Linked DNA regions of Drosophila melanogaster. Changing the gene in region 1 together with any one later gene gives a genetic interaction. Each region holds a gene or a part of one and is shown in the gene's direction. Other genes may lie near its edges.

Region 1 (5,074 bases):
AAGAGAGAGAAAAGTTCGGTTCGAATAAATTGAATCGAATCGAATGAGATGCCAAAGAGCCGCGATGCGATGCCGACTGGAAATGGAGTGAAAGTAGGGTAGGCAGATTAGACTCTTCGGATTCGATTTGACTCCGACTTGGCGAGCATCTACACTTGACCAAAAAGTAAGTTATGATTCTGCATAACATTTTAGGTATTTAAGATAATAGCAGGAGTGCAGGCATTTCTCTAAGTATTTCATTCCCAACACTACACACATTCGGCCATCCAAAGGTCGGAGTTGACACTCTTGCTCTCCCATTCAGGTGACCCCGCCTTATGTCCCCCCTCCCCTTTTGCAACTCCTCACCCTAAAAACTTATTTAAATTCGTCGATAGAAAAAGAGAGCTACAGCGAAATACCAGCTATTCGAATAGGAAGTGAGTTAGTGTAACAAATGTAATAAAAATACCTGGGATACATTCTTCGATGATGGTCTGAGCACGAAGTGGAGAAAGGGGGGCGGCCCATTAACATTATCGTGGCCAGCAGAAATATTTGACCATAATAAAAAGAATTGAAAACAAAGCGAATCGAATCGAACAGCGAATCGAAGCGGAAACCTAATCGTCAACTCATCGAAGCTTACGATACTCTCGATCGCGAGTGATAAGGTGTTCAATGTTGGGTGTTGAGTGGGGCTTGCATTCGCTTTAAAAGTGCTTGAAGAGGGTAGAACATTTTCAAGATTGCTCAGTAATTTATAAATTTTTATGGCCAACAAATAAGCCTGGTCCATTGCTATGCCAATAAGATTTTACTCATCCAGACTATGACAGGGAGAGGGCTTTTAACAGAAGGGATAGGGGTATGCGACAATCGGCGATATCGACGTTCCATCGCCTGGCAGTGAAGCGTAGCGAAAACACGCCAGAAACAGCAACACACACCACATCCACATCAGTGGGTTGGTACCCGCGTCATATGCCAACTTATTCAATAAATTCCTGGCCTCCTCGCCATATCATCATCGCCAGCGACTTTGGCTCTGCCCAAGACCGCAAAGAGCACGAGGAATTTTGAATAGAAAGAGGATCAATGGCAGCTGCTCTTGGCTGAAAGATCACTTTGCCAAAAAAAAAGGCCAGAAATGCGCGCCAATTCCGCAAAAGCGATTCTCTGGACCGGGAGACTGGAGACTGAAATCGACTTCAAGGAATTGCATAAAACATTTTTGGCCGTTCTTTTTTTATTTTTTCACTCTCCTCGCTCAAAACTTCGGCCTCGACCAGGCTCCAAACCTCGCACACACACAAGCACAGATATAGAACGTATGTATATCTACACGATATTGACCAAGAACGTAGTTCCCAAAAGGCTGCTTACAGCAACAACAACAACCGGTCTTAGAGAACCAGCGACCAAGCGATCGACCAAAGACGAAAGAATAACGAACAGCCACAAAACAAAAAAAAAAAACAAGAATGAAAAGCTTGGGCTTCAAGTCGAAGATGGAAGTACTCTAGATCTCTTGTAGTCAGACTGATCCGGTGGGTAACAAACTACCTTTACTCAAATTCCCTTACACCATAGGCTTGTCAATAGAGAAATTTTCAAAATTTGTCCCAGGAGTGGCATGTACTTTTTTTGAAACCTACAAACCTTTTTTAATTCTTCCCGTTGTATCCCAAACAGGGTATAGCAGACACCACAACGCAAAGTACACTCAAAGAAATCAAAGGCTGTGCGAGTTGTTCCCATCGAAACCCCGCCTCACCGGAATGTCTCGCCCAATTTCTACCCCTGCCCCACCACTTCCCTGACTTCAGTCAACAAGTTATGTCCATGGCAAGACGACCCGACCCCGACCCCTTGACTCTCCAATTCTGAGTCTTCGACTTTTGGCCGGGTCTTCAGGGGCGTAGCGAGGGTTTGGCACCGGGGCACAACTTCGATCATCATTATATAGTCTTTTGGTTGTGTTTAGTTACGATTTTTATATCATTTAGACTTTTTTCCATATAATCTAAATTTTGTTTTCTGTGGATTTTTCTAAGTAGCCCCTTGGACGAACTGGTTAAAACCTTACTTGGCTTACACTGATCCCCGCCCTTTCGTGGGGCGTGTGTATGCCGCATATTTGAAGCAAATGATGGTTGAAGAGGTGGAGGAGGGGAAATGAAAAGGAGGAAATCTAAAGAAGAGAAAAAGAGGGAAGAGGGAGCAAAAAGAATCCAGCAAATCAAGCTCACATTATGCTGAGGAATGCGCCCAAGTGACGATATCGTAGCAGCAGAGGACGCCGATAGAGGCAGAGTCTTCAGACCCTCAAGTTCCGATTCCGATTCTCCCTCGTCCAGTGCATCTGTATCTGGAGTTTTGCCCAGAGAGTTTATTTATAAGATAGTCGCATCGATGGCTAGCGCAGGGATACTGAAAGCTAGATTTGAATCCAATAGGCTTCCGCCATAGTTTGGCAAAAAGTGAATGCCAAAAGATAGAACTCATAATGTAATTGTAATATACAATGTAAACTACAAGATAGCATGTGATAAAAAGCAGAATTAGAAAGAAAGGTACCTTTGTTAAAATTCTCATATGCATTTTACTTAAATCTGCTATCCTAACAGGGTATCCTTTAAGCCCTTGAGAATCGGAATCGTCGTCTCGCGAGATAAGCCATTGGAATTCCACTACTCACACGGACGCACACACTATGTAGTTGGCTACTGGGATTCTCCTTTGAAGTTTGTTTTTCTTTTATTGCTTATTGCTATTTACATTTTCGTAGCCGTTGTTGTTGTTGCCATCGGGTTTGTGTATCGCTGTGTGCGCTTCTTTCGAATTCGAATTCTCTCTTGGGCTCTCTTTTCGTTAAACGCGGCTTCGTTAAGTTTTAACGAAATCTCGACTCGATCTTCGTTGTGTTCGGTTTCGCTGAGCAGGGGCAAAATCAGTATATCGCTAAACGTCAACGGTAACCGAACAGATCGTCGGGACAGCAAAGCATGTGCTTTCCACTGGGAAATATAAATTCGGTTTAATGAATTTATTCGAGACCTAACATTCGGAAAAGTTGTTCTTCAGATCTTAAATGCACACCGCACGCACACCAGATCGCCCAGACACACACAGAGCTACACAGATTCAGTTGCTTAAAGTGAAGTTCGGTTTTCACTGAAACAAAAACAGCGCGCTTCGTTTTCGCACTCGCCTCAATTACAAAAGTGATTTTTGTTGGTGTTGGTGCAACTAGTTCTGATTTTGGGAAAACGCGCCTTAAAACCACGAAAATATCTACGACTAGTAGTGTAAAAAAGCTGAAGTCAACTCCGAAAAGTTGGTGCTGGTCAAAAAGAAAAAATTCAGCCGCAACAACAACTGCCCACTGGAAACTACAACTACAACAAATAAAGCAGTCAGCAACAGCAAAAACAACAACCCAGCAAACGGCATTCTTTCGCGCAACAACAACGACTCCACGCACACAGATACTCTCAGTTGCGCTCGCCCGCGTGTGCAATTGTTCTGGTGTTAGTGAGTTTTGATTAAAGTATGTGCGACGCTGGAATGCGACCCGATCGCTGTTGACTGCGCAGTCGCAGCGCGCGTCGTGGAAGTGGAAGAGGTCAGAAAGTAACAACAACGAAACGAAAATTTTACTGTTAGGCACTTATCGATAGCCAAATCAATAGATCGGTTTTAAGAGTGCACGAAGAGTGAGCTTTAGTTAAACAAAACTACCAAACCAAAATTAAAAAGCCAGTTATTGTGGATTACGCGAAACCGAAACAGAAGCAGATACAGATACAGCATTAACAATGCCGACTTCTGCAGCGGCTTAAGGTAAGAAAAGGACAGATACACGTGCAGATATAGAGTGGTGTACCCATATGGGGCCATTTCCCCGGAATTTTAATGACTCCCTGAAAACGGCAAACAAAACAAATGCCAGCAAATTTCTTATCTGTCAACCATAAAATCGCCAACGTCCAACGATTGTTTAACATTTCGTTGTTGTCGCCAGCTTTTTTCTTTAAATTTTTTTTTTTGCGTCCCGCTAAGAGTCAAAAATTCAGCGAATTGTGCAATTAACCCATTTCGGGCCATGGAATATCAAATGTCAGTCAAACTTGACACTCTACGGAGGGTATATTGAAATGGGGAAGCTGTTTAGAGTACTATTGTGTCAAATATATATGTACATTCACATGTGCATACATATGTAGTTATATAGTAGGCCTGACCGACTTTTTAAATACCGGTCACATTTAATTAATTTTTTTTGACATTTTCTATGCGGCCCTAAAGTATCTTTGCACAGGGTTTCACTTATCTCGGGATCCAATTTCCAAGTGAGCTAGTCAATTTGATAGGTTCTATGGCTAATAGGCGACTTAAACGGTTGTCAGAACGATCGACGGCGATGCAATTAAGTGAAAATGGAAGCTCCACAGAGTTCTATTGTTATTCCCGGGTTTGGAATTTCAACCGTCCATCGGGATCCCTGGAACAATTGCTGAAATCAGAAACCGCTTGGCAATCAGACATCTTGAATGTAAATCAGCGAAAGATAAACAAACGGGTGAAAACACACGCTTTGGGTATCAGTCGATAAGCTTTAAGCGGTTAAACGCTAATCGTTAAACGATTTTGCCACCAGGCAATCATATACATATGGGTAACTGTATCTGCGGACAGACGTATCTATATCTCGGCAAGTACACATGTATTCCCCGGATCGTAGTTTTAGTTCGCTTGTGGTTTTTTCGATTGAGCACTGACGTCTACATCTCCATCTCCGTGCGTATCTCTTGATCTCCACATCACACTTGACCTCAGGCAATGGGCTTTTGCATTGAAGCTGACAACAGCAACAGCAATGATCATACAAACTCAAAATATTAATTTCGTAAACTGAAATTCCTGCACGCAGTTGATATGCGTGTGCGAACATTGAAAACTCTGGTTGCTCATTGCCTCGAACAATTCAGGCAATTAAAATGTACAACAAATTAAACAAATTTCGAATGACAATCGGAGTCGAGGCTGGCTCAGAGATATAGAGGATACACTAATGAACGACCTTCGA
Region 2 (5,074 bases), 9.9 Mb from region 1:
TGCGCATGTCGTTTTTTAATCTTGGAAAAAAAACCCTCCAAAGGAATAAACTCTGGAATCTGAAGAAGAGATGCCTTACAATGCCTTAAATAATACGTTCGATTCGATTGCTACAATTTATCAAAATAAAATAGATTTAAATTCCTTATTTTCAACAACCGATGAAACAACGGGAAACGGGATTACTTCCACTAACAATTTTTACCGTTTCCGTGCTTTTTTTGAAACAAGTGCTCAAAGAACAATATAATAAGGTCATACTTAGAATCTTGCAATTTAAATTACTGTACGGCTTAAGATTCCATGCCAAATTGTATATTTTAAATTTATTTGTATTCAGCGCCGGATTGGTTACACCGCATATTTTTCAAGGATGTCGTGTCATTTATTAGGCGCAACATATATTTGCCGCACAGGGGTACGTGTTTCCTTAATATTAAATGACTGTTTTTACAAGTTGCAGAACACTAAGTATATTTAAATTTCACACGATACTTAACATTTTATCAAATTAATGTTAATATTTCTATCTGGGTCCTTCGGCTACGGCGACGGGCAGGACATTACCAAGACTGCTAGCAGAATGCTTTATCGCACTGTACGTGGACTCCTTTTTGTTCTCCTCACCGGCGGGTTTGCTGAAATACCATTCCTTCTTATTGGTCAGAAATAGCAGCATCAGGGCGGGCAGGTGTATCAGTGAAAATCGGAACAGCTTCCGCGAGCTCCCACTATCTGACTTTTCATGAAACTTGTACGCTGCAAGCAAACAGAACGTATTAGACATAACATATAGGATTCCATGGTTAATGAGTATATTTACCAAGGTAGGCGAAGTACGCGTTCAGAGGTAGTGTTTCCAAGGCAAACCAGTAGTTCGTGACGTCCAGTACGGGTGCCATGGCTGAAAGTCCGACAATAGCCACCGAATATCGCAGCGCAGTGCGGCGACAAAGACCCGGATTGGTAACGGCCATCATTCGGTAGCCGGCACGTGAATAATCCGGCCGGAGGTTCCACGACAGAGCGTTGAAGTGCGGGAACTGCCACGCGTACAGCACTCCGGCTAGGATCATGGCGCCGGCGTCCAGGGTGGCTGCACAACCAGCCCATCCCATCAGCGGAGGAATGGCGCCCACTATCGATCCCACCCAGGTATTGACTATGCTGATACGCTTCATCGGTGTGTATATCGTGGTGTAGAGGAACAGGTTACCCGCTCCCAGCGCCGCCGTCAATCCATTTACTCCGAAATACAGCATACTTAAGCCGGCAGTTGCCGACACCGCGGCGAAGGTAACTGCATGCAGTGGTGTCATTTGCCCCGTGACGAGCACCCGGTTCTTTGTCCTCGACATCTGCGAATCGAAAGGAACTTCGTGATACTGATTAATGGCATTCGCCGCAGCCGAAACGAGTCCTGTGCCCAGGGTGCACATCGCAAACGTTGTGGGATCGAAAGCAGCTGGCGCCATGGCATAGCCGCCCATCGTTGTAATGACCACCAGCGCTGCAACGAAAGACAACTATGGTCGATGCTTGGCCAATGTTTAACCATCTCGCTTACATGTCAGCCGGAACTTGGATAGCTTCTTGTACTGGCTAAGAGTTTTTCCGGGCATGGTGTACGGACTAGGCATCCAGGTAATTTGACTATCGGGTAAATGCTGGACCTTTCCCGCCTGGGATACTGGCGACGCTGTAGTGACACCTTTGTCATCTTGGGAAGCTATCGTTGCTGCAGTGGAGTACTGAAAATTATTGGAAAGTTATAGTTTGTTATAGTGGTTTGTTGCGTAATGGCCAAGAACCTCACCCGAATGAGCACCAAATCAACCGGCGTTCTTAGCTGGGATTGCACCCGCCGAATTCCTTTGAATAATATCATTATTATTCACTTATTAGTTAGGTCTACGGTTATTTCATTTTTCTAGTTGTGTTTGGATTTCTATTACTTTTATATACAATGTTATGGTTTTTTAAATCACATTGTGCTTAAGTGTTACCATATCTCAAAATGAGAAAAATACTGAGTGCAAAAAATTTAATCAGAGGTATTCATAAATTGTTGGGATTGGGATTTTTTAAGAACTTTGAAAAAAACATAGCAAAAAGTTTTAAGCCTATTCCTTAAATAATAATAATATAAGTTTACATTAAAAGAAAATTTTGTGCCATGGTAAAACTCAGAGACATTTTCAGTTTCGATTTTTAAGTTGTTTTCTCAGTTTTTGCATATAAAAAAATAATAAATAATTAATAAATTTTTTGTTCCTTAGTAAATTAAATTATTTGTAATAATATTTAGTATTGTTAACAACACTATATACCAAGATTTGCGCATGCGTCAAACGTGTAATTTGCTTTATATGTGTGGGAGTAATTTTTACATCTGAATGCAGGAAGGCCGAAGTCCTTGTAAGTCTTCATTGATTCAATAATTAACATTTTAAACAAACGGAATACATTTTAGTTGTTAACAGTCGAAACAATCGTTTAAATAAAGCAAATACAAGAAATTATAATTGCAAGTAACTTTGACTATCTTCAGATATTTCTGTTACAAAAATTTGCACCTACACCAACTTTTTTCGGCTTGATTCTTGTTTCTCGATTTTAAGAATATACAAAATGTCAGTTCATTCATGTGTTGTTAAGGACAATGTAACATCTAAACACATATGAAGTTAAATACCAAATTGACTCTTAAAGTAATTTATAAATACGATAATGAGTTGAACTAAAGAAAATAGTGGAGTGGAGATAGTGGTGTCCTTTAGCAAGTAAAAGGAAATAAGAAAAAAACCATTTTATTGCTTTTACTATGTTTTAATTATGTTATGTTATTAATACACTGTAGTTGTAATCAATATTTAAGTCATCTAAACTTTTTTATTTCTTCTAGACAACTTATTCCAATGCCCATGCCAAGAATGGATATCTATATAACAAAGGGCATCACCAACCCCAACTACCCAGGATTTCAAAAGTTCGCGCATACCCTTTCCGATGACTACATAGAGTACTCCGACATGGAGTGCAATGAAAGCGATCTAACCGACAGCGATAGAGAAGATGACCCAACGTTCCCAAGTAAGATGGCCAAGGAATCGGGCTCGGAAACCTTTAAGAATGGCCAAGATTCGATTTTAAGTAACTGCGACAATGGAAACACATATATATCAGAAGAGGAAAGCGTGAACCGATCGGAAAACATTCCGGATATTGTAAATGAAAACTATAGTGCAACGTCGGAAAACTCCAAGCGAGCTTTGCAAAAACCTGACCTTATCTACAATCTAAGCCAGAATTATACGACCAATCCTGAGTTTCCATCCTGGTCATGTACAATTAATTCGAAATACGAAGGGCAGTTGCAAGGCCAAAGTCCTATCGATATTGTTGGTGATTTTGGCGGAGAAGTGGAACGTGAATTCGAGCTACTTCTCACTGGATATAAAAACAAGAAGGAAGCGGATGAGTTGAAGGGATCAAATTTAGATAAGGTATGTAGTTAGTTAAAATAAAAGAGATCAGGCACGTAAAAGCATAATTGTACCTTGCAGATTTGCGATGCAGAACTATCAAATGGAACGGAGGCTCTTAAGCAAACATCCTCGACGCGATTGTCCGGGAATAGTACTCGAAAAAATAAAAAGAAGAACACACCGTACGGACATCAGATCGTGAAAACGAAGCATCCAAAGCCGTCTCATGACGAACGTCAATTGCCACCGGACACGTTCGACTACAAAACGTATAGCCAACGAAAATATATCATTTGTGATGCTGACCAATACTCGTCCGTTCCGGAAAAGAACAAAAACGATAGTCCGAACCTAAATCAGGCTGAAATACCCAACATGAGCAGCTTGGAAATCGGTGGAAGTGGAAGCCAGCAGAATCTGGACGAGGACAATAACAAGGTGGCTAGTCGGAAGTACTCAAATCAATCGCGCTGGTCTCAGTACTTGGAAGATCCCATCAAGTACTCCAAAGATCCATGCTCCACCATGGTTTTAGGTAATTTCAAATATGAATTAATCGTTATAGATTCTTGAGTATATTAATATTTAAATTTTTATAGAACAATTTGATGCGTACAAGATTGCAAACGATATGGATGTAGAAACATTGCAAAACCATTATAAAAAGGTTAAACAGATAGAGAAAAAGGTAGGTACAATATAATCGGAATAATAATATCATTTATTAAATATATATTCCAATTACAGCGGCGATTCAATCGAGATGAGATACGCAAGAGATTGGCAATCGGAGATAAAGATTCTTTAAATAATGGTAAGACCAAAGATATTCTTTCATTACTATATTTTCTTAAATATTATATTTTATATTTAGACATTAAGAAGGAGGAATTTCTAACCGGATCCGATAATGAAAGTTATAGCTCCGACTCTGAGACGTGTCCAAAACTATCAAGTGGAGTACTTCGCAAGCAATCTGAATTCTGTGAAACGAAACGCAATAAGGAATTTGAAAACGATAAAATCTTTCAAAAGAACCAAATCAACCAAGATAAAAGCATGAATCATATGAATGGCAATCCCATTGGTACAACAGATTATCCGTCGGATGAAAACTTGTTTTTCTTTGCGAATCAATCAAAACTTCAAATAGAGGTTAGAATAGCACTAGCTCAATCGAAGGAAATAGCTCAGATGAAAGTAAAGGTGTGTTTTCCACAGGATTTATTTATTTTTTATTCAAATGTAATTGTAATTATCTATTTGTAGGCAAGGAAACATGGCGTAACTCCCATTGTGGACGTAATTCGATCAATGCTGTGTGATGTTGGCATCAAAATGAACTCCAACCATCGATGGATTTCGAGGCAGCTGCTCACTGGAATCCAAGTTCCGACTCTCCAGCTATTGGTCAACAATCTCCAGGAATATATTGAAAACCTAAACGTCACACTACTGGAGAGCCTTAAGGAGCGAGACGATTTGAATTCGGACCAAGATGATATATTACACGATCTCGAAAAAATAAATAACTTTTTGTATGTATACAAATATTATCTTATTTTAACTGTGTGTATTAATGTTAA
Region 3 (5,074 bases), on another chromosome or scaffold:
ATGCAAATGATTTGCTCCCCTTTTTCTGACTGATTTCACCATTTCCATAAACACAGGCGCCTCATATGCTAATTTTCCTTTGCGCAATCAAAAATTATACATCATTTTATACTACGCGCCTATCCATCCGGCTGTTTTCCCCCATTTCTCTCGTTTGTCATTAATCACGTTTAATATGCAATTCTATGCTGTAAAGAGGAAAATAATTGCAACAATAAAATAAATATAAACAACAGCGGGAGTGGCAACCCAAATCCGTTGTAATCTTCATATCCGGAGTGTCGTTGTCTGTGAATTCTGCAATTGGACTCTCCAGTTACACATTTTCCCCTCGGGGATCACTTTTTGCATCATCATTATGGATGGATGGAGCCTCTTTATAGAGAGTTTCTGTATAATGTGGAGTTCGTTTTTTAGTGGGGGGTTGGTTTGGTATATAGGAAGTGCGGGTTAAACGGGAGTCTGCCACTCAGTCACTTCCTTGTTTGACATTTTAATTGCAATGTTGATGGATTTCACTGTTGACACTTTCCTTTTTCACCCCATTAATGAATAATGAACGTTTAGTCTGCAAATTTACTAGCTAGCCAGGCCGCAAAGTTAAATTTGCCTTTCGTGCATACATACAGATATAGTAAATTAACAATAAGATTCCTAAAAGAACATTTTACTTAACAATTATGAAATACTTTCGGTTAAATGCCCTTTTAGCTTTCCCACTGATTTCTTTTGTGTTTCGGACCGTAGTAAATTGTCTGTAAAAAGTCGTGGCCAAGTTAAGTATCATAACTAGAACGTCTTCCGTTCAACACCTCATTAGGCGAACTTTTCAACAGAGGCCGAAAACGACTTTTAATTGTGCCCACTGGACATACACAACCCCTGAAATTTTTTTCTGGCGGGAAGCACAATTGTCCAGAGGGTGAACATGATAAATGCCTTAAATAATGTTCTTTTGCCACCAGAAAATATCCAAGACATGACCAAACTCTAGTGGAGCAATTAAGTGCCAGACCAACTGAAAATGTCATTTAACATTTGTCAGGTAAAAATAAAAGTAAAGCACTCAAATAAAAAACAGCAACAAGTTGCAGACTAATTAAATAATTGAAACATTTTACGTGGGAGTCGCAAAGACACAATGACAAAGAACTAAATGTGTGTGCAAACGAAAAGCCAAACAAATAAAGACATAAGAAAAACGATTCTACAATGTCGCAATTCGACTATGCCTGCTATACGGTGCCCGAGTGTTCCACGGATGATGATGATGATAATGACGATGAGCTGGGCAGTAATGTGACCCTGGAGAACAAGGATCATTCGGATTGCACCCTGGAATCGGATGCTACGACCACCACATCTTCACTGGAGCGTCATATGTATAGGAATCGGTATCGCTCTAATAGAAGTTTCGGACCACAGAGGGTTTCCATGCCCATTCTCAGATCCAGTCGATCCAGGGAGATGACGCCCCAGTTGGGCATGTATCATGAGGGACCGAATCGAGATCCCCAATGGGGTTACTTTGTACCCCTGTCGCCCAACTTCTTCTTTAGTCCACCGATGCAGAGGAGGCGTTATAGGTAGATTTACATTGTGTTTAGTACTTAAAACATATTTAGTTCTATTATTATCAAGTAAAACATACATTGAAAATTCTAATAAATTAAATTTAAATTTCCTTTCAGGGAAAAGGAAAACGATCGCAATCGTCGCGCTGTTAGTTATGGCGGTGACGCCACCTCCTCCCCCCATTCGGCCACCATACCCCGCGCCGCCCCCCGTCGGGTGGCCTTGATGAAGGATCCACCGCCACCGCCGCCACCCAAGCCGCAATTGGGTTCCAAAGCGGATTCTGTATCGCATTTGGCCAGCAAATATCCCCAATCCGAGTACAATCTCATACAGAAAATCGACTCGAACAGCACACTCACTGCTCCGGCGCAATATCAACCGCAGAATTTCTACGCTAATACTGGCACCATATCCTCTACGAATGGCTACGGATCGCTGTTATGTCACGCCAGTTCGACGACCAGTCCGCTGGCGGTCCGGAAGAGGGACAAACTGCTTCATCGCTTCAGCGATGCCGCCACCTTGGGCCGGAAGCTCAAGAAGAAGAAGAACACGAATCGCACCTGCAGATCCATGACGGAGGCCATTGAGATGCTGGCCGATCCCGTCATCGAAGATGAATTCTTTGTAAGTACAATGATTTATGCAAAGAAAATATACGTATTTCCATGGAATTAGAAACATAAAAATCTTTTGGAGCCTCTTAAAACAAAATAGAGTTTCTCAAACCATTTTTTGTCATAACATCATAGAACTTGATTGATATGTATTAAATATTTGGGTGTGGTTTTAAAATAGCTCGAGGTTCATCGTTCAAACCTTTTCATTCTTGGTTTTTTCCCCCAAACATCTGCCCCATTTCACAATTTACGCTTTTAAGGGGTGTATTTGTTTGGCTTAAGCCCCTCATTTCGTCTCATTTCACTTGGGCTCTGCTCAGCTCAGTCCAAGCTTTATCGCAATCACTTTTGTTCTTGTATTCTTCTCCGGCTGGAAACGCTATCCATTGGAAAATGTTCTCGTGTCCGATAGGCTCTTCAAATTCATTGAATTCATTTCAGTTTAGTTCGTATTTGAGCCTCGTCGCGATTGAAACGAAAAGAAATCCACACCAAAAATAAACGATTTTCGTAGGCGGAAGTGTTAGAAAGACAAACCTCAAACAGATAAGGTGGAAATAATAGGAAGTTGACAGATTGAAACTGAGAAGGGCCATTGAATTAAGTGGAGTGACAGAAGTGATAAAAGAAAGGGAAAATTTGAATATATTAAACAAGAAAAATGTGCACTTAGACAGAGGGATTTATATTTGGCCACATCTTTTCCACTTAGTTTTTAACTATAAATTTGGATATTATATTTATGATCCCTGTAAGATAACCTTGAAAGTATTTTCCGACGGCTGAACTCAATTCGCAATCATTAAGTGAAAAAGGGGCGTCAATAATACTATCAAAAGTTCAATAGACCGCACATTCATTGACCCAATCGGGGTACCTTTGAGTTTTTGCAATGTTTTGAGCTTGTAAATTGGTATTGGGGTCGATCAGGGCTAAGCCACAATTATTTGCCAAATCAGTCTTTAATTAACGAACTCAGAGTTGACAGATTAGCATGGCTCTCTTTCTCTCTATTCTCCATTCTGTCTCATCCATATGACAGCTCGGTTGACAGTTCAGGAAGACGAATGTGTCTAACAAAACAAGTGACTCGCAAACTGTGTCAATACTTTGGGTTCGAAAAACAATTTACCTTGCGCAAAGACGACGGCTCGAAAGGTGAACCCCGGCTAATTGGATTGGCAGTGCGTGCCTTCCAGCAAACAACAGAAAAGCAGAAAAAGTTGTTGCAATAAAATCAAACAATTGCAGTGGAAAATCGAACGTGCAGTGTGCCGAACGTGTTGGTCGCGTAAAACCCTTAAAAAATCGGTTATTTTCAATATAGTTTATAGGGTTTATCTCTTTTTTATTGGCCTCTCTCAGGCGTTTTTAAAAACACAAATGTTGCCTGCTTTTGTGCGCTGTTAAACAAGAACGCCATGAAAAATAATTCAACCATATCTATAGCATACTTTTACGCGGTCGAAAATTACATTTGAAAAAGAACAAAAAGTCTCTAAATTAACTCAACACCCTTGAAACACTAATCTGGTTTTATTTTTTTTTTTTTTATATATTTCCAAAGGAAAAAAATATAATTTTGCGTGATCTAATTTTACATGTAATCATAAAACATTCTATCGTCAGTCTAAAGACAGTGTAGATTTTATGTAAAATTAGCCAAGTGAACCTTAAAATTTTTGTTGTTTTTGTTGATTTATTTTATGGTTTTAGTTTGCAACAAATTGAATTTTTTAAAGAACAAAACATAAGTTTCTCACAAAAAAAAAATAATACTTTGGTTTCGACCGTGACAGGACTCGAACCTGCAATCTTCGGATCCGAAGTCCGACGCCTTATCCATTAGGCCACACGGTCGCTTGTTCCAAGCACGCTTAAACTCGAAAACATTTGATACGTGTGCAAGCAACCTACAGCACAAGGGTGGATTTTCTGTAGAGCAAACATTCTGTTATCGCGGGGTGCAAATACAAACGAACAAAAACGAAAATTAAATACAACAAAAATATGAAGCCCAGCACGCGACGTCGCAGTTTCAAAACGAAACCCCCCAAATCGAATGTATATAACCCACTCGTTCGCTATCGCCCGACAGCCTATGTCCGAAATGGAATTATTGGCGGCGCCGAGGGTCCCGGCTCGAGTGGAGTGTACCAAATCGCGGATAGGGTCTATACCACCAGCAAGATGTTTCTACGCGATGGCTATATGTACCCGCGTCAACCGGGTCAGACCATGGATCCCCGTTTCCCCCTCGAGTTGCACGAATTCCCTCAGCAATTCGGCGCCACTGGCCTGCAGTTGGTTAGTGCACCCAAGGTTCATATAGCCGGCGAATATCTGGCCAGTGAACAACAGCAGCAGCAGCAACAACAGCAGCAGCAGCATCAACAGGTGCAGGAGCAACAACAATTGGGCAGAAGAAAGGCTGCGGCAGCCGCCGAAATAAATTTGGCAAATCAGGTTTACTGGCTGGGCAAGCAAAAGACCAGATCCCGATCGCGTAGCAATAGTGTGGGCAATCGGAGCATAACCAGCTGCATGGGCGGCGGTGGAGGGGGTGGCGAAAAGGAAAGGGAACGCGGCGGGGATCGAGATCGCCCCTATATACGCAACGTTGACGATCTTCTCCAGGCACTGGGCAAAAGGGATGGGGGGGATAACAACAGCAATCTGCTCGAAACTGCATCGACGCACTCCTCATCGCAGCGAAGGCGCTTCAAGAAGGTGAGATACAGACTTACAAAGTGTGATAAATGCAACCAAATGCCCTCAAATCTCATTTTCATAAAATAAATAAAAAAAATTCTGGATACAAAAGAAAAAAGTTAATTTTACGACCGTGACAGGACTCGAACCTGCAATCTTCGGAT

The links.
Region 2: of ex (region 1) and Schip1, changing one suppresses a phenotype caused by changing the other (phenotypic suppression), as found in Drosophila melanogaster (one study listed by BioGRID).
Region 3: of ex (region 1) and pyd, changing one enhances a phenotype caused by changing the other (phenotypic enhancement), as found in Drosophila melanogaster (one study listed by BioGRID).

What each region holds. Positions count from the first base shown.
Region 1 is NT_033779.5:428,290-433,363, forward strand, and holds the start of ex (expanded), read left to right. Parts: upstream 1-2,937; 5' UTR 2,938-3,828; intron 3,829-5,074. UniProt on the Drosophila melanogaster protein: Activates the Hippo/SWH (Sav/Wts/Hpo) signaling pathway, a signaling pathway that plays a pivotal role in organ size control and tumor suppression by restricting proliferation and promoting apoptosis.
Region 2 is NT_033779.5:10,328,424-10,333,497, reverse strand, and holds the start of Schip1 (schwannomin interacting protein 1), read left to right. Parts: upstream 1-2,381; 5' UTR 2,382-2,418; intron 2,419-2,905; 5' UTR 2,906-2,918; coding exon 2,919-3,506; intron 3,507-3,566; coding exon 3,567-4,023; intron 4,024-4,087; coding exon 4,088-4,176; intron 4,177-4,235; coding exon 4,236-4,302; intron 4,303-4,362; coding exon 4,363-4,694; intron 4,695-4,757; coding exon 4,758-5,026; intron 5,027-5,074. Other genes in the region: Cox10 (cytochrome c oxidase assembly factor 10), read right to left, coding at 527-759, 824-1,510, 1,568-1,751, 1,817-1,888. UniProt on the Drosophila melanogaster protein: Regulator of the Hippo/SWH (Sav/Wts/Hpo) signaling pathway, a signaling pathway that plays a pivotal role in organ size control and tumor suppression by restricting proliferation and promoting apoptosis.
Region 3 is NT_033777.3:8,861,917-8,866,990, reverse strand, and holds the start of pyd (polychaetoid), read left to right. Parts: upstream 1-2,642; 5' UTR 2,643-2,749; intron 2,750-3,457; exon of another isoform or gene 3,458-3,489; intron 3,490-3,985; exon of another isoform or gene 3,986-3,997; 5' UTR 3,998-4,208; coding exon 4,209-4,928; intron 4,929-5,038; exon of another isoform or gene 5,039-5,074.